Linked DNA regions of Mus musculus. The protein of the gene in region 1 interacts with the protein of each later gene in a biochemical or structural test. Links are inferred from orthologs where the notes say so. Each region holds a gene or a part of one and is shown in the gene's direction. Other genes may lie near its edges.

The links.
Region 2: the proteins of Mavs (region 1) and Map1lc3a form a complex in vitro, tested with the Homo sapiens proteins (2 studies listed by BioGRID and IntAct, with this or other methods). The link is inferred for Mus musculus from reciprocal best matches to the Homo sapiens genes MAVS and MAP1LC3A.
Region 3: of the proteins of Mavs (region 1) and Trim31, one has a biochemical effect on the other in vitro, tested with the Homo sapiens proteins (2 studies listed by BioGRID). The link is inferred for Mus musculus from reciprocal best matches to the Homo sapiens genes MAVS and TRIM31.

Annotation. Positions count from the first base shown.
Region 1 is NC_000068.7:131,244,294-131,249,660, forward strand, and holds the end of Mavs (mitochondrial antiviral-signaling protein), read left to right. Parts: intron 1-909; coding exon 910-1,376; intron 1,377-2,070; coding exon 2,071-2,496; 3' UTR 2,497-3,732; downstream 3,733-5,367.
Region 2 is NC_000068.7:155,273,606-155,280,085, forward strand, and holds Map1lc3a (microtubule-associated proteins 1A/1B light chain 3A), read left to right. Parts: upstream 1-2,758; 5' UTR 2,759-3,001; coding exon 3,002-3,041; intron 3,042-3,352; coding exon 3,353-3,408; intron 3,409-3,492; coding exon 3,493-3,599; intron 3,600-3,869; coding exon 3,870-4,032; 3' UTR 4,033-4,468; downstream 4,469-6,480. Other genes in the region: Pigu (phosphatidylinositol glycan anchor biosynthesis class U protein precursor), read right to left, coding at 4,931-5,044. UniProt on the Homo sapiens protein: Ubiquitin-like modifier involved in formation of autophagosomal vacuoles (autophagosomes). While LC3s are involved in elongation of the phagophore membrane, the GABARAP/GATE-16 subfamily is essential for a later stage in autophagosome maturation.
Region 3 is NC_000083.6:36,895,332-36,902,623, forward strand, and holds the start of Trim31 (E3 ubiquitin-protein ligase TRIM31), read left to right. Parts: upstream 1-2,798; 5' UTR 2,799-3,022; coding exon 3,023-3,436; intron 3,437-4,560; coding exon 4,561-4,656; intron 4,657-6,317; coding exon 6,318-6,548; intron 6,549-7,292.

The DNA of each region.
Region 1 (5,367 bases):
GTCACAGCAATAGAAAAGTAACCAAGACACCAGAAAATCACACTAAAGTGGTTCAACCTCAAATGAGTCTGTCAGGGGACAGAACCTGGTGTCCCCCCTTAGGACTACAGTCTATCCACCCCAACTTCCAGGCTAGAGTGGCTCACCTCTACTTTCTAGACTGTGTTCTGTTTGTTCCTGGTGCCTTAGGGTTGCCATGTGAACAGTTGAAGGTCGATGGAATCCTCCTAACGCTCCCAACTTTCCCGAATGGCACTTCACTGTAGCATGCTTGCGAGCACAGGTTCTAGGAGACTTTCTGTCAGGTTTAGGGGGAGACATCAGACATCACTTCTGGCCTTTGTCAGCCATGGCAAGTGTATCCTCAGAGTTCTGTGAAGAGTCTGATGTCATCAACTTTATGCACTTCCTGATTCCCCGGATCAGACTCCCTTTCTGGGACTACTAGGTCCCTACCCCTGGGGGTGTGTGCCAGCGGGTCAGTTGACTGGTTAGTGGTTCTGTTGAGCCATCCTGCTATTGCCCCATTCAGGATTTCTCCTGCTAGAAGCTAGTGGGGGCGGTAGTAAGAGGAATGCCTCAGGACATTCGTACTCATGTCCTAGGACAAGGTAGAAGAGGCTGGAGTGGGAGAAGAGGCAAGTGTCCAGGGTGGAAGGAAAAAAAAATAATTAGAACAAGTTTTAAACTTCTGGGTGCAGATGAAGGTAGAGCCCATTTTACTTTGGTGATGGGACAGATGAGGGTTTCAAGGTAACGGCTGAGGTGCAAGAGTCTTCTCCACAGGAGGAGATTGGGAGACAGGATGTGGAAGGGACCATGTGATCAAGGACATGGGGACCCTTCTCTAGCCCTTAAGTTAAAACCACCCTTTGCATTTGTTTCTGCTTTTGTCTTCCCCACCTGTAGATGTTGCCTCTGTTCCCATAGCAACCTATGGACCTGTGTCTCCAACCGTTTCCTTCCAGCCCCTTCCACGTACTGCCCTGAGGACAAACCTCTTGTCTGGGGTCACAGTATCAGCCCTATCTGCTGATACCTCTTTGTCCTCCTCGTCCACTGGATCAGCTTTTGCAAAGGGAGCTGGTGACCAGGCCAAAGCTGCCACCTGTTTCAGTACTACACTCACCAATTCTGTGACTACCAGCTCAGTGCCTTCTCCCAGATTGGTCCCAGTAAAAACCATGTCTTCCAAGTTGCCCCTCAGTTCAAAGTCCACTGCTGCGATGACGTCTACTGTGCTCACCAATACAGCGCCATCAAAATTACCCAGCAACTCAGTGTATGCGGGCACAGTGCCATCCAGAGTGCCTGCTAGTGTGGCCAAAGCACCTGCCAACACAATACCACCTGAGAGGAACAGCAAGCAAGCCAAGGTGAGTCCTTGTTCCTGAGAGTGACTCGGGCTACCTTGCCAAGACAGCTGATCTTTTGTCCTCAGACTCTTACTTTCTGTGCGGTCCCTCGTCTGTTTCTTCAAGGTGTTGGGACAGATGGGGAGCAGCCCCACCCAGCCCTTGCACCTTGTTTTCTAAGAGGATTGATAAACATGAACACTTCTAAGGAGGGACCTCTAGCAGGGTGGGGCTACCCCCGCTGATGTGTATTAACTCATCTGGAGCTCAAAGACCCCAGTGAAGCTCAGCAGTACCATTTAGTAGATGGAGTAGTGAGGAGTGAACATGGTGGATCACATGTCCTAGTGCCCTGTTCATTTGACAGTGGTCTCAAGCATCCTGCTTGGAGCAGTTCCTTCAACCTCCTGACCCCTATAGTCACTTTCCCCAAGACCATACACCTTGGGATCTTGTGCCTGCCCTGTGGCTCTCAGGCCCAGGTAGCACAAGGTGGTTCACACCCCAAGCAAGGGCTCCCTTGCAGTAGAGCTCACAGCAGTTTGGTGAGAAGAAGAGGGCTGCCCTAGAAGGGGTCACCTCCCACTCAGCTGTGTCCTAATGTGTTGAGTCCCCAAGAGAGGGTAGTCTCGACTATTGTGAGATACTAACTCAAGCCCTCAATACACTCTGGCTTATCTCCCTGTCACCTGGACCCCTCTTCTTATGTTTCCAGGAGACCCCGGAGGGTCCAGCAACCAAAGTCACCACTGGAGGCAACCAGACTGGACCAAATAGCAGTATCAGGAGCTTGCACTCTGGACCAGAGATGAGCAAGCCAGGTGTGCTGGTATCCCAGTTGGACGAGCCATTCTCAGCCTGCTCTGTGGACCTTGCCATTAGCCCTAGCAGCTCCTTGGTCTCAGAACCCAACCATGGTCCAGAGGAGAATGAGTATTCGTCCTTTAGAATCCAGGTAGACGAAAGCCCCAGTGCTGATCTATTAGGAAGCCCTGAGCCACTAGCCACCCAGCAGCCCCAAGAAGAGGAAGAACATTGTGCCAGTTCAATGCCCTGGGCTAAGTGGCTTGGGGCCACCAGTGCACTCTTGGCTGTATTCCTGGCAGTGATGCTGTACCGTAGTAGGCGCCTGGCCCAGTGAAGCCTCAGCTGTATGCTGTTCTCTTGCTCAGTTCTGCCAAGCATGTTCTCTAGGCTTGGGCTAGTAGAGGCTGAGTCAGAGAAACTTAAATATGGCGAGGTCCACTGAGCTATCCAGGTAGATAGCTACACCAAGACGTCATCACTGTTGGGTGGGGGAGAGACATTGTTTTATCCTGGTTCATATGTCATCTTCTGGTCTTCAGCTTTTGGAGGCACTGTGTTACCTCCATTGCTCCTGACCTGCCCACGTGGCAGTGTAAGAGTTCATGCTCTGTGCTCCTAAGGAGGTATCTCCACCAGCTTTATCCCTGTTGGCCCAAGCCTGAAGATGAGGAGGTATCGCACTGTTGACAATGCCCCTCATCTCGCCCAGATCTTCTGAAACACAAGCGTAGGTACACTGATGAGTGCTCCCATAGCATCTTATGCCTTCCACCGGCAGCCTGGTCTAAGGCCTTGGCAGGAGAGCCTGGGAGTAACAGAGTGGCTGGTCTCTAGGGAGCTTTGAGTGCTCTGCCCCTTTGGGCCCTCTCCACAGCCAGTCAACCCTGAGGGTGAGTCTGGAGGTTCTCTGTGGACTCTTAAGAAAGCCAGAAGCAACTGCCAGGCCTGAGGAAGCCCCTGGGAGGGAGCTTTTCTCCAACCTCCTTACCCCCTCCTCGCTTCTCCACTCCTGGTCTCCATTCTCTCCCTATACTGGATGATGAGATACCTAGTGGGCAGAACTCAGGCTGGGCTTGCATCAGTTCCACCCTTTCCCTGGCCTTTAGCAGATGTCTAGCTTCTCTAGTCTTGTTCCCAATGTAGATAGCGGGCAGCTCTTCCTTTTACTGGGCTCCTCTGAGTTTGAAGGATACAGATACTTGCCTAGTACTTATCTCAGAGGGTGTGAGTACAAGTTCTTGCCCTCCTGCCCTGGCTGGCTGAGCTAAGGTGAGAGTGTGAGAGGCAGAGTGCATATTGGTAATGGCAGTCTTTGAGAGAGCAGCCTTCATCTCCATCATGCTTCTTTCTCCTCCCTGGTCAGGTGTAGGCCTCACCTCTGTGCCTCACTTTTCTTACCTGTGAGATGGGGTGAGTATGTGTGTGTATACACACACATACCCACAGACCCACGCCCACACCCACACATACATGCTAATATATTCTCACCTGTGAGATGGAAAGTATGCATACATTGATGCTAATATATTCTAGTTTTATCAGGATAATTAAAAGAGTTTATCTGTGCAAATCTTGTGAGTTCCAAATTTCTTAAAGGATGGATACATGTTATCACCACCCCACCCTAGACTGTTTCTCTGTGTAGCCCTGGCTGTCCTAGAATTCACTCGGTAGATCAGGCTGACCACAAATTCAGAGATCCACCTGTCTCTTTCAAGTGCTAGGATCAAAGGCGTGTGCCACCACCATCTGACACATTATCACTTTTAAATGAAAAGGTGCTGGGGCTTTTGGGTGTACAAACCTCAGTGAGATAGGTGCTCCTTGGGCAGAAAGACTAGTTACTCCTACAGCAGGGACACAATTAGGTTTAGGGTGGGTATGATAGCTCACGCCTTTAATCCCAGAACTCAGGAGGCAGAGGCAGGCGGATCTCTAAGTGAGTTCAAGACCAGCTTGGTCTACACAGCAAATTCCAGGCCAGCCAGTCTCCAGAAAATGAAATACAATGATGTCTATTGAGGCTATCCTCATGAGTTCTCTCAAGGTGCCCTTTGCTGGACAAGGGATAATTGTGGAGCCAATTCCATCTCTGGGCTTTATTGTGAACACAAACCTTAGAGAAATCAGGGATGGGGGTTGCAATTACAATCTTCCCTACATGCCCTAATGACCCCAAGTTGTCTGCACAACTTTTATCACCTTCGTTTCTAACGAACCCTGGTCTTTGTGCCCTTTCTCAGAGCCATACTGGCCATGCTAGTGAACAGTTGTGCATAGGTACTAGTTTTAGTGTGTTGCCATTCTAGTATAGCTTTGAAAGACTAGTCTCAATAATACAACATGTAGCCCTACAGAGGTTACCCACATGGCGAGATTTAAAGACTGGCCACTAAGCATCTCTTAGGTCAAGAATGTGTAGGAAGTCTCAGAGGCCTTCCCTGTTCTTTGCACATTTTGATGACCAGGCCAGCATTCAATGGCACCTTTATCTCAGCTGGCCGCTTAGATGCCACCTTCAGAAAGAGGAAGGCTTTGGCATTGTCAGGTTCCAGGAGTCCAATGTTTATGTGTTGCCTTCAGCTGCAGTAGGATTCATAGCTGTGTTGAAGGGAGAGTTGGAAGAGGTCTGGACAAGGTGAACCAGAACCCAGGGAATGGAAGGAGCATCTGTACCCACACCCGGGTACTCTTATTTACACACGTAAGAAAACAAATTCCTTTAGGAGGATGACTGTTGGCTGGAGTAATCAGTGCTTCGTAAGCACCCATGCACAGACGCACAGGCAACAGAGCCCTGCCCACATTCTTTCTCTGGTGAAGAATTCCCAGAAGCCCAAGAACTCTGACTTCTCTATCCACAGCAAGTCCCAGAGGGCCCTGCTGTTATTGAATTCAGTACAGTGCCACTCCACTTCCTTTCCCTTGCTAGACACCTTCATTTATGGGACTCTGTCAGAGATGAGAGATACCCATCATGGGTATGCTCCATTACATCATCAGGGACCAGTGTCTTATCATGCCCCCTCAGACCTGGGGACCTTTTCTAGAAATTCCCATGCAGGCAAGATTCAAAAACATGACTCATTATATCCCCTAGGAATAGAATCACTCAGATCCTACAGTCCATATTGTCCATAGATGCACTATTATACAGGTGAGTGCTGACATTCCCCCTACCCCTGCAAAAGGAAAGTCTGTTGGC
Region 2 (6,480 bases), about 24 Mb from region 1:
GTCCTGGAACTCACTCTGTAGACCAGGCTGGCCTCCAACTCAGAAATCCGCCTGTCTCTGCCTCCCAAGTGCTGGGATTAAAGGTGTGCGCCACCACCTTGAAGGGACTCTCTTGATCCTTTAATGACGCGTGACCTTAGCCTTACAGTCTATTTTGTGTGAATTTTCCATGAGCGTCTTCTTTTGGTTTTCTCGGTACACATCTGGTACTTTTTTTGTTTTGTTTTTTAAACATTTACTTGTAAGGTTTGTATTTACAAGTCTGAGGGTCAGAGAGCAATCTGCAGAAACTGGCTCTCTCCTTTCACCACACAGTTGTCAGGAATGAACTCGCACCTAGAGTCATCTCACTGGCCTACATTTTACGTTTTTATTAACTTTTTACTTACAACACAAAGACATGGGTCTCACTTTGCCATTTTACACATATATGATACATTGTTCCTCTGTGGCCTCTTGTAAACACTATGGCCTTCCTTCTTCTTACTTTTCTTGGCGAGTCCTAAAATTTGGGATGACAGGCATGTGCCACCATGTCCAATCTATGTGAAGCTGAGATCAAACCTAGGGTGTCCTGCATGGGAGGCATGTACTCTACCCACTGAGCCGCACCCCAAGGATGTGGCGTTTTTATAGGTGAGTACGAGACTCCTCCAGGTCTGTGCTATTTACCTTCCTATTTACGTTCCTACATGATCCGCTTCTGGCTCCCATGGTTCAGAGCCCTTCACTACCCACCCTTTCAGTATTTAAAACCATATTTTACATTTCTATTCTCTCTCTCTTTTTTAAAGGATTTACTTATTTATTTATTTTGTATATGTGAGTACCCTGTAGCTGTCTTCAGACACACCATAAGAGGGCATCCGATCTTATTCCTGATGGTTGCGAGTCACCATGTGGTTGCTGGGATTTGAACTCAGGACCTCTAGAAGAGGAGTCAGTGCTCTTAACCCCTGAGCCATCTCTCCAGCCCCATTTCTATTCTCTTAATGATCTTTCCTGCTGTGTCTTTTTTTTTTTTTTTTTTACATTTATCTATTTGCTGTGTGGAAGTTGTTCTTCTACCACCATAGACAGAAAATATTTTAATATTTAAAATATTAAAAAAAATTCTTCTCGGATTCAGTAGAGAGATGTCCTGAGACAGATTTAGTAATCCTGTCACTTGCTGAAAGGGAAGCCAGAACATTGCAGAAACCTCAAAACAAAGGCTAATCCTTGCACTAACAGATTTTCTTGTAGGGGAAGGTGTCTAAGGTTAGTGAAGGCACTAAATAGGACTTAAGGTCATAATTTAGGGAAGTAATCCTACCGCCCCACCCTAATTTGGGGCTGCCACATACCAGGCATTGAGCTGCCTGGAGAAGGTAGAGATGGGATATAAGGCCTGGTTGAATCCCTTTGTAGGTGGAGCCTCTAGGATCTAACATATTCCGAAAATTGAACCCACATCCTCATGCTTGCGGGCAAGCACCCTACCTGACCAAGCAGACAATAATATCTTTCCAAACAAATCCAGCTCCCTAAGACATTTAAAAAGCAAAACAAAACCCAAAACACAAGGTCTCACTATCTAGACCAGGCTGGCCTTGAACTCAAGAGACCATCCCGTCTCTGCCCACAGAGCTGGGGTTAAGGAGGCACCGCCACCCAGCCTCTTTAAGGCAATCTCAGCTGAATTCTTGTTACCTTAGCAGCTTGTTTTTGTACCAATCACTACCATTTCTGTCCATAAGCAGTTGTTTAGAATTACTCAAGCGTGCATCTGTTAACTTGGTTCCCATCAAATTTCTTCCCTTTGAGCTGTATGTTTCTGAAGTACAAACTAACTTTTTTTTTCAAACAATGGTCCTTTGTAAATTCTTTTGTTTTATCTTTTTTCTTCCTTACTTCAACTCTAGCCCATCCTCCTGCCTCAAACTCCCATAGAGCTAGGACTACAAATGAGAGCCAGCTACATCTGGCATTGATTCTGGCTTTCAATCGATTTTTAAAGTTCTTCAAGGGGCCGCCTCTCCGTGTCCGTCCAGTCCCTCTATCCCCTCCACCTCCCGCAAAACCTGAGATACTGAACTTAAGCCTTCCATCTGCTAGGCAAGTATCCTACCCTGACCCTCGGTAACATTCCCAGACCATACTTCTTTCTATCCTACCAAGGGGCTCTACCTGTAAAATCTGACTTCGCGTGTTGTCAGTTCCGAATGTTCTCCATCTCATGGTTAACCACTTCTGATATAGCCCCCCCATTCAGCGATTCTCTCCTGCTTTATCTAAACCACCTATTAACCAACCTCACTCTGGAAATCTATGCTTTCTATGGTTGTTCCAGAATTCTTTGAAAGCCTGGGTGGGGGGTCTGGAGCAATGGTTCGACAATTAAGAGCCCTTGCTATTATTTCAGAGGACCTAAGCTTGATTCCCAGCAGTGCGATTAACTCCAGCCTAAGGAAATCCGATGCTATGTTCTGCATCCGCGGGCATACACTTACAGACACATTAAAAATTTTAAAACTCTGGGTGTTCCATCCTCTCCCCGCTCCACCTTCCTTCTCGAATGCTAAACTCGATGAAGGTGCGGTGAACTACTCCGCAGCGTCGAGAGACTGGATGGAGGCGACAAATGCCTGGCTTCTGAGTCTGTGGCGCCAAAGAGAGGAGCTTGCCATCGTGACGTCACAGAACTGTGACGCGCCCTGGAGCTCCGCCTCCTTACGACCTGCGCCGGGAATCCGGGCTGTCTGCGCCGTGGCGTCACAGGTCCAGGCAGGCGGGTTTTCCGTCGGCCCAATGGGAGCGGCGCGCCGGCCTCCCCTTTAAGGAATGTTGTGACCTGACGTCACCCAGGCGAGTTACCTCCCGCAGCCGCCACCGCCAGGCTCAGCGCGAGCCCCGCAGCCCTTGAGCTCGAGCCCCGGAGCCCCCGGCGCGCCGAACCGCAGACGCATCTCTGAGCCGCGCACCCCGGAGCCCCGGCTGCGCGCCCCGCCGGGCCCGCGCGATGCCCTCCGACCGGCCTTTCAAGCAGCGGCGCAGCTTCGGTGAGGCCCTGGGGGGCGAACTGCCATCGGGGATCGAGGGATGGGGGTGCCAGTCGACCCCGATTGCCGCAGGTGACGTCAGCCCCATGACGTCAGGCACCGGCCGGCCGGACCCCGGGTGGAGAGGCCGCAAGGCCTGGCAGGGTCGCCCGCCTCCCTACCGCGTCCCCCCGGTGGAGGGCTGCGGGGCCGACGGCCCCGGGGGCGGGCGCTGGGGCGGGGCGGGCCGGGAGCCGCCCCTCGGGGATCAGCGAGGCGGAGTCGCGGGAGGCCTCAGCACCGCTGGGCCTCACACAGAGCTCTGTCCGCAGCCGACCGCTGTAAGGAGGTGCAGCAGATCCGCGACCAGCACCCCAGTAAGATCCCGGTGAGTCTCTAGCACCCCCCAGCCACGCCCTGCCCTGCCAGGTCCCGCCCTTGGCTTACGAGTCCCCCGCCCACTCCACTCCAGGTGATCATCGAGCGCTACAAGGGTGAGAAGCAGCTGCCTGTCCTGGATAAGACCAAGTTTCTGGTCCCAGACCATGTTAACATGAGCGAGTTGGTCAAGATCATCCGGTGCGTGGGCAGCCTCCTACAGGCCTTGGGTGGGGCAGGGTCAGGTTCCACAAGAAGGGATGGAGTGGGGCGAGGGGACTGATTTGGGACACCGGGCCCCTGTTCTAGGAGGCTGGAAAAGACCAAGGTCGGGGTTGGGACGAGCTTCAGTAGAGGTGAGAGCCTCTGGCTGAGATGGACCGAAAGTGAAGGTTCAGTAACATTTTGGGAGGGTCACCTAGGCCTCCAGCAGGCAGCCTCCTCACCTGGCATGCCTGCCTGCCTCCACAGGCGCCGCCTGCAACTCAACCCCACGCAGGCCTTCTTCCTGCTGGTCAACCAGCACAGCATGGTGAGCGTCTCCACACCCATCGCTGACATCTATGAACAGGAGAAGGATGAAGACGGATTCCTCTACATGGTCTACGCCTCCCAAGAAACCTTCGGCTTCTGAGTCAAGAGGAGGGGAGGGGGGTGGCTGGGAGTTCTGGTCAGGTTCTCCCCAGGGAGGTCCTGGCTCCTAAACTAAGCTATTTCAGTCCCCAGTGGATTAGGCAGAGATGTGACACCCACTCCCCCCCCCAGGTAGGGGCCACCAGCCAGCCTACCACATCCTGGGTAGGTCCTGGGCCAGTCATGTTCGGGTTGCTCTTTTGGGTGCTGGCTGGGTTGGGAGTGGGTGGGGAGCAGCATCCCTGCTCTGTGGGGTTTGTCATTTTGTTAGGCCCTTGCCTGTCTGCCCATCTTGCCCCTCATCCACCTGAGGCTTTGCCTCCTGCCAGGACCTGCCCCACCCCTGAAAGGCTGGCTCCCCTTGTCCTGACTCGGTGTATGGATCTGTGGTCATTTCCTCTGCAGAAAGAATAAAGACTGCTCAGGCCTGCCTGGCCCTTTGCCTCCAGCTGCTTGTTTGGGAGCAGGGAGGGCTGCTAGGTGACTGTGTTCACACACAGAGACAGACGCGTGTTCCCAGAAACCCACTCCTTAGTACAGGATAGCACGTAGTATTAGGGGGCCAAGCTCACTCCACTCCAGGAATACATGTCATCAGAACAACAATGAAAAAAAAAAGATCCACACATTTATTAAGTAGTCACAACCTATAAAGCCCTGCTCACCGGCTGCTTCCTTTCTGTGCACAGTCACAAAGTGGGGGTCCAAGTGGGGTGCTCCTAGCTTCTCCCCATGGGCCTTGTTGCCAGCTATGAGTCCCCTTTGGTGCCAGAGATTTGTGACCCTGGACTTGAACTTCTTCTGCCTGAGGACGCGCCTGCTGGCAACTCTGGATGAGGGACCTGGCCCAGCTTCTGGCCCTTCCCCCTCTTGTCCATGCAGCGCTGTGCCAGCCAGGGCTACTTGAGCACAAGCATGGCCTCAGTGCCGTCCTTGGCAGTCAAGTAGAGGCCGTGTGTGAGGTAATACTCCCGCCGCAGGAAGGCATAGAAGTAGTCAGAGATGAGCAGGATCTGGCAAGGAAAGAGAGTGTGAGAAGCCACAAGGCACCTTACTGAATGCTACCCTTTGCCAGGTTAGACAGGCAGGTTAGTGCCTGCCTGGCATCTCCCAATCTATAATTCTGCCTAGGGACCTCCTTCCCTCTTGGCACGCTCCTGGCCCTGAACGATCTTACCGGTCATCTGGCAGCTGTTTGTATCCTGCCTTCTGTTCCCTTTTCCTGCTTTATACTTTCATACGTGAGAGTCCAGACCCGTGTTCTTACAGTGGTGCGTGCACCTTGCCGCTGCCCACAGGCACTCCCCATCTAGCCTTCCCTAGAGAAACCATCTATCCAGGAACTCAGAACACAAAATTGCCCATTTCTCCCATAACAGGCAGCCCAGGAACTCTACCTTGGAAACAGTTTGTCAGGTGATGGTGGTACAAACCTTTAATCCCAGCACTTGGAAGACAGAAGCAGGCAGATCTCAGTCTCACAAGATCCGACTGCCTCTGTCTCCCGAGCACTGGGACTGAAGAAGGCATGTACCACCACTATCAAGCTACTGCCAACATTACTCACCTGTTAAAAAAGTTATTTCTGGATGTGACTGGTAGGATTTTCCTTCCTATGACCTGGCCAGCTCATCACCGCGATGAGTTGTGAATTCTGATTCTGCATGTGCCCCTCACCCACCCCGACACAGGGTCTGGGTGAGGAGACCTCAGGGTTCAAGGTCACTATCTACTGCCTGAGCCAGGCTGACCAACAGCTGCCTGGTCACTTGCTGATATGCTACAGGGCCCTGTGTCCTTTTGTGGGTGGGCTCTTGGGACGTCACACATTTAAGGGTGTATATCCAAGTCCAGCCTTCCAGGTATGGCTCTGGTCCAACTAATTGAATGCCTCCAGCCTCAGTTTCCCTATTTGTAAATAGGCCATTAGCCCTCCAGTGAGAGAATGGCAGGAATGAGTCCAGAGACTATCTGATTTTGGCCCCTCCAAGGTCTTCTTAGCTGCTCTCCTATCTTCAGAAAAGTATACAGCTGCCCAGGACAGGACTGGAAGACCTACATCTTTGGTTTAGGTCAACCTCTGATCTGTCTCCCTCTCACTAAGTGCCTGCCATGTTCTAGGCCTTAGTCTTCCTGTGTGAACTAAGAGGTGGTTGGTGCTAGTCCTCTTGGAGCCTATAAACTTTTGAGAACTGGTATGTCCAATACTGTGCCTGCCCTCCTTTGGTAAGGCAGGGCACTCCCCTGCCAGCTTCAGTTACTCCAGTCTTAGGCATGTTGGGCTGAATAGGGTTGTGGACTTTGGGGTCAAGTGTGCAAATAGACGAACCCTGTTCCTCTCTGGGACTCTATTTAGGGTGACAGCAAACTGAGATTGTTGGCTCCTTTGATTCTGTGGTCAGACTGAGTTGGGGCAGGTAAATGCCACAGTGGCAGAAGCACTCAGGAT
Region 3 (7,292 bases), on another chromosome or scaffold:
ATGATAAATGATTGAAAAATGATAGATTATTATATTATAACAAAATATCTTGAACTGGAGACATGGCTCACCAGTTCAGAACACTTGCTGGTCTTCCAGACAACTAAAGTTCAGTTCCCAGTACCCATACCAGCTGGTTCACAACCGCAGATTAGGCCAGTTGAAGGCATCAGACTCATCTTTCTGAGCTCCACAGGCACATGTGGCATACATACACAGACGCCCACACATATGCATTCATGCACATACATACACAGACACAAGACACACACAAATAAACGTTTTTTTTTTCTAAAGAAAATAAAGTCTTTCAGTTCCTAACAAAATAGTAACCTATTGAATTAAAGCAGTGGTTCTCAACTTTTCCTAATACAGTTCTTTATACAGTTTACTTTAATACAGTTCTTCATATTATGGTGACCCTCCAGCCACAAAATTATTTTGTTGCTATAATTGTAATTTTATGGAGGAGCAGTGTCTCAGTTCCTAAGGCCATTGGGAATATGTGTTTTCTGATGGGCAAGACCCACAGGTTGAGAAACACTGAATTAAAGTTTGAATTCAAATGAAAAAAACACATTCTAGATTTTTTTTTTTAATGTATGACTCTCTTGCTGTCTTCAGACACACCAAAACAGGCATTAGACCCATTACGGTTGGTTGTGAGCCACCATGTGGTTGGGAATTGAACTCAGGACCTCTGGAAGAGCAGTCAGTGCTCTTAACCGCTGTGCCACCTCTCCCGCCCCTACAGTCTACATTACTAAGGGGTTGATTGACAGATGAGCTTCATGAGTACACAGGACCCTTTGAACTCTTGTTGACTTTGATAAAATATTTGCATCTCCAAAGAAAGTCTCACAATGCACCTTAGCATTGCAATAGGGATTTAACAATATACAAGTCATTGACCTTCAGTACTTGGCAGAAAAACTTAAGGTTTTCTGCAGAGGCAAAAGTCAAAACGCCCCAAATCCATGTAAAAAAAAATCTCTAAACAGGGGCTGGGGAGAAATAGCCCTCTGTAAGGGCAGTGTGGACTCAGCCTCCTAATCTTCTTGTCTCTACTTTCCCAGTGCTGGGATTTCATGCATGTCTGTCTTTGTGCCTTGGGTCTTACACATTCTAGGTGACCCTGAAACATGCTCAGTTCCCTGAACAACAGATATTGAAGATTTAGAAGTGAGACGTAAGTGAAATAATATATACAAAAAAGAAAGGAAAAAAAAAAAAAAAAAGAGGCACCCTCATCAGCGTATTCTGATTTGTCATTGTTTTTTAAGCACAATACACACAAAACAAAACTTGCCTGAAAATTAAATTCTGGGGGCTAGAGAGATGATTCAGAGCATTGACTGCTCTTCCAGAGAAACCAGGTTATATTCCCAGTGACCAAGGGGCAGCTCACAACTCTCTGTAACTCCAACTCCAGGAGACCCAGATGCCCTCTTCTGGCTTCCATGAGTATTGCATGTGGTTCACAGACACATCCAGGCAAAATACCTATACACATAAAAAAATTACTAATAGCAATACTGAAGATAAATTTTTTAAATCAAAGAAATGATTTAATTTAAAATAAATTAAATTTTACCTCTAGATCTGACAGCTGAGTATGAATGCAAGTTATAAAACCTTACAAAAATATTTGCTTTAATTCAACCTTAAAGTGAATGAAATAGACAGGCCTGAGGTCTGGTATTTCTACACTTGATCTTAGCCAAAAGGCTGAGAAGTGTAGGTGTAGTATTTCTGAAAGTGTTCAGCTTTCAGTAGTTGCTGTAATCAAAGTAACCTCTATAATATGAGTGGATACTTTTGAGAATGAAAGGAAGGGCTGTTGACATTTATGAGGGGACAAAGGTAAAGCCAAGACTGTCCCTGGCAAATGACAAGGAACTATTGTTGGGGCTATAGCCATAAAATCCTCCACACCCTGTGTGACCTGCCAATGGCCTTGCCCTATGAACACATTGGTTGCCTGTATAAGACCAGGCCAGTCAACTTTCCAACCTAAATAGGAAAGGGTTCATATGGCCCCACCTCACACTGAGGAGCTATTGGCAATTGATAGTTTCTGGGGTTGTGGCATTGTAGTGGCCTATGCTCCAGTGGGTGGTCCCATACCATTTGCATACAATTAATACTAACTCTGTGTGTGTGTGTGTGCGTGTGTGTGTGCAGGCAAAACTTTCATGTGAGTAAAATTAAAATACACAAATCTAAAACATTTTTATTTAAAAATTAACAGTTTGGGTTTTAATGACAGAACAGAAGAGAGGAGAGGTTAGTGGGGATGGAGAGGGAGGAAGGAGGGAGCACCGTCTTCCTGGGCACAAAAGAGCAAGAGGAAGGGTTAAGAAGTGTTGAGCTACTAATGGAAATGTCGGTGACCCTGGCTGATACTTTCCTTGTCAAGCTAAAGTCCACAGGTCAGGCAAGCTGATGTGTGTGTGTGTGGGTAGGTGGGGAATCTGAGAAGTACAGAGACAGAGGAAGTAACAGACAGGCCAAACAGAACAAAGGATGACTCAAAGATGCTGGGGTACCAGAGACAGGAAGGAATACCCAACAGAAGGCAGGGTCTGGGAGTGAGAGATCTGCTGGGGTGGTAACAAGCCTTCCTGGGGCTGCCAGCGATCAGTTCCACTCCCCAATTACACCTGAGTGGACTTTGTCACTTCGTCTTTCTGTTCTCTGAATCTGCTTCAGAAAGATATGTTTAATTAGTTCAAGGTCCAGGAAGTCTTGCTCTACTTTATAGGCAGCAGGCACTCTCGGTTTCTGTTCTTGAGAGACAGGGAGAGAGGACTGACCATCTGTTTTCTTCTCTTTAGAATATTCCCCATTTATCGCTGACTCTTTTCTGTCATTATTTATTTAACCCCCCCTTCCCTCATTCTCCTCTAATCCTCTCCCTGAGATACTCTTCAACCTCTGCCTCCTGCTTCCTTCTCTCTTACAAGCACCAGGCCTTGGATTTCTGTACTTTCACATCTCAGATTAGCCCTGCTGTTCCATCATGGCAGGCCAACCTCTGGCCTGCCAACTGCAGGAGGAGGTGACCTGCCCCATCTGCATGGAAATTCTACAAGATCCTGTCACCATTGACTGTGGGCACAACTTCTGCCTGCAGTGTATCAGTCAGGTTGGAAAAACGTCAGAAAAGATCCAATGTCCTCTCTGCAAACTCTCTGTGAATAAGAATACGTTCAGGCCCAATAAGCTGCTGGCTAGTCTTGCAGAGAAGATCCAAAGTATGGATCCTGCTGACATCCAAGCAGAAAAGGAAGACTCAAGATGTCAGAGGCACAAGGAAAAGCTACATTACTTCTGCGAGCAGGATGGGGCATTCCTCTGTGTGGTGTGTCGTGACTCCAAGGACCACAAGTCTCACAATGTCACCTTGATAGATGAGGCTGCCCAGAACTACAAGGTAGGCACCTGGGCCCTTCTCTGCCCCCAGCCCAGCAGAGTAGAGTTCACTGGGGAGGCCCCAGTTGATTGACACCCATTGCTGTACTCTTTGTACTTGAGTTGGCCATTTATAGCCAGGTCCAGTGGGCTCAAAGAATTGAGTTCTAGAAAATGCCAGTCTGTAACCAAAGCAAGACGAAGAATCAGAATAGTACTCTAGGGGCAGGCGAAATGACCCAGAGGGTAAAAGTGCCTGTCTTGACCATAAGGACCCACATAGTAGAAGGAGAAAATTGGTTTGATCCCTGGGACATGCAAAATAAAAGGAGAGAACTCACCCTTGAAAGTTGTCTTCATACACATAAACACAGACACACACACACACACACACACACACACACACACACACACCATAGCACTCTGCTGAACTTGCACACACAATTAATAATGTACTAATTTTTAAACATAATTTTTTATTAATTATTTTTTTTATTTACATTTCAAACATTACCCTTTCTGGTTCCCCTCCATGATCTTTCCACCCTATCCCACCCTTTCTTTTTGCCTTTAAGAGGGTAATGCCCCCTACCCATTCCCACTTCACCCCTCTAGCATCCCCCATCTCTGGGGTATCAAGCCTCCATAAGACCAAACGCATCCCCTTCCACTGAGGCCAGACACGGTGGTTCTTTGATACATATGTAGTGGGGACTATGGGCCAGCTCATGTGTGCTCTTTGTTAAGTGCAAATTTTAACTCAGAAGGTCTCATTCAAGTCCAGCCACTGCTAACTTACAAAGCAGAGCCTGAGACATCCAGATAAGCCAGTGCTCTTCTACCACAGAGCTCCATCCCCTGGTTGGTCCTGGCCCTGCCTCTCTGTGAGGCAGATGAAACCTATCTCTTAAAGAATGTGATAGGACGGATGAGGAGAAGTCTTCCCCTGAGAATACCAAAGCGCCATCCAAATGATCATTAGTAGTATTTTCTCAAGTCACTAAAGTTCCATTTCTTTCCATCACCTCCTTGTTCCTATCGAGAGATGGGGGCCAGGGAGGACTGCTAATAATGACATCAGTACCCTGGAACATCTTCCCTGCCTCTCAAGAGTCAGAGCCTGGCTGAAGCACCCTCTCCTTACAGGTGCAGATTGAGTCACAGGCCCAAGATTTGGGGCAAAAGGACAAGAAAATAATTGAAGAGAAAAAACAAGGTGAAGGGGCAATCTGGGCGTTCAGGGTAAGAAATGCTCATTCCAAACACTTCTGGGGAAACTGAGGCATTGCTGATGAAGCTCCTAGCCTTCCTTTATACAGCAAGCAGGAATAAAATCCTGCTGACGTGGTGGTGAGGGGCAGGGCAGAGGGTGTATGGTGCCTGAGCCGTGCTCCCGAGCCAAGCTCCCTAGCTGTGCTAACTACTGCCTGAATGCTGTGCCAGGTCTTCTGCTCCTCCACCCACAGCAGGCTGTGTAGAGAACACCCACACACTGGCTCACCCAAGCCCTTTCTAACTAGAGACTCCCACAGTAAGAAACGACAGAGACTATGACGCCATTGAACATCTCCACCTCATTTTGTTTGCATGTTTTAAAAAAAGTTTTATTTTTGTTATTTTTATATGTGTGTATATGTATGTGTCTGCATATGAGTAAAAGCCATTCGTGTGAATACTGGAAAAGACCAGACGAACTGGGATTACAGGCACTTGTGAGCTGCCCTACACAGATGCTAGGAACGGAATTCTGGAAGAGTTGAAAGCATTATTTTATTCGTTTGTTGGTTGGTTTACATCCCAAATGCTGACCCTGCCCCCTGGGAATGCCATCACCATCTCCCAGATGCTGTTGACTTGGCTGGCTGGTTTTTGTTACATCCACGGAAAATTCAGTTATGAAGGCAGTTAAGCTGAAAAGCCTTCTTTCTTTATCTTTCTTTCATTCATTTGTTTGTGGTTTTCTCCCATTGACATTTAAGACAATCTTTTATTTATTTATTTATTTATTTATGTATTTATTTATGTATTTATTTATTTATTTATTTATAGATCTATTGTTTATGAATGAATGCTTTGCTAACATAAAATATGTATACCAGATAAATGCCTGGTACCTACCGGTAGAGACCAGAAGAGGGCATAAGATACTTTGTGGGTTATGGGAATTGAATCTGAGTCTTTTGCAAGAGCAGCAAGTGGTCTAAACAACTCACTCTCCAGCTCCTAGACAGAGAATCTGATCTAGCCCAAGCTAGAAATTGTTTGTAGAGAAGAATAGCCTTGAATTTCCAAGCCTCTGTCTTTCTCCCAGTGCTGGATTACAGGGCTATAATAGCATGCCCAGTTTATACAGTGCTGAGGATTGAACCCAGGGCTTCACCCATGCCAAGCAACCACTCCATCAACTGAACTCCACCCTTACCCTGGGTTTTCAATGGTCATATTGTCTGTCTTTTGTGGAGATGGTGGCTCAAGTAGTTGAGCCTGGTCTTAACCTCCTGAAGTGCTGAGATTGCCTACTTGTGCACCAGCACATCTGGCTGGTGGCCTTAAGGCAAATGAAAGCATGCCATCTGGCCTAAATCTGTAAATACTTTGCTTCCCCTTTCCAACAGGTATGCCCAGAAGCTCTTCTGAATTGGTCTCAGTGTAATCTTTAAATACTCTTAAAGCATGAGTGGTGCCAGGTGGTGGTGCACGCCCTTAATTCCAGCACTTAGGAGGCAAAGGCAGGTGGAAATCAGGGCTATCCTGTTGTACTTAACGAGTTCTGGGCTATCTAGGGCTTTATAGTGAGACTCTGCCTAGAAAGAAAAAGAAGGATGGGAATTATGAATTTAAAGGAGGCTTGGAGGACCCTTCTCATGGTCATCTCATATCTGCATCCTCTCCTTCGTCCCCAGGCCCAGGTGGATCTAGAGAAACTAAAGATCCATGAGGAATTCAAGCTCCTGCGCCAGAGACTAGATGAGGAAGAGAGTTTCCTCCTGTCCAGGCTGGACTGGCTGGAGCAGCAGGGAGCCAAGCAGTTGAGACAATATGTCACTGTGACAGAGAAGCAGCTGAACTCTCTAAGGAAGCTCACTAAATCCTTGAAAATAAGGCTGCAATCATCATCCATGGAGCTACTAAAGGTGAGTCCTATGTGAATAAATAGATTCTCTCCTCTCTCTATTTCTCTATTTCTCTCCCTCTCTATTTCTCTCTCTCTCTCTCTCTCTCTCTCTCTCTCTCTCTCTCTCTCTCTCTCTCTCTCACACACACACACACACACACACACACCAGTTTTCTAAAAGACAGTTAAGAATCTGAGTTACATTATGGTCTAACAGCTCCAAATACCTGGCTGCTCAATGCCTTTTGTTACATAAATCTAAATTTTGAAAAAGCCTATGGGCTTCCTGAATTGATATAATAGTCAGATACTTTCCTTTAGAGAAATTTCCCTGACACTCCCTTCAGTGCCATCATCCCAACCATGACCCTTATCTTTCTTACTTTAAGGTATCACATTTGATAAAGCTCCTCACCAGGTTTCAGAGAGTAGCCTCTCCTTCCCCATAAGGCTCCATTCTGTTGTCTCTGACATATTGTGGTATTTCTTTCTATAGCTCTTCCACCCAAGGCCCTTTCTCCTAATAAGTCTCATTTAACAAAAAAAGAAAGAATTTATTTATTTATTTATTATGAATACAAGTATACTGTAGTTGTCTTCAGACACATCCAAAGAGGGCATCAGTTGTGAGCCATGATGTGGTTGCTGGGAACTGAACTCAGGACCTCTGCAAGAGCAGTCAGTGCTCTTAACCTCTGAGCCATCTCTCCAGCCCCTTAAGCCTCATTTTTAAAGTCTGTTTGGGTTTTTTTTTTTTTTTTTT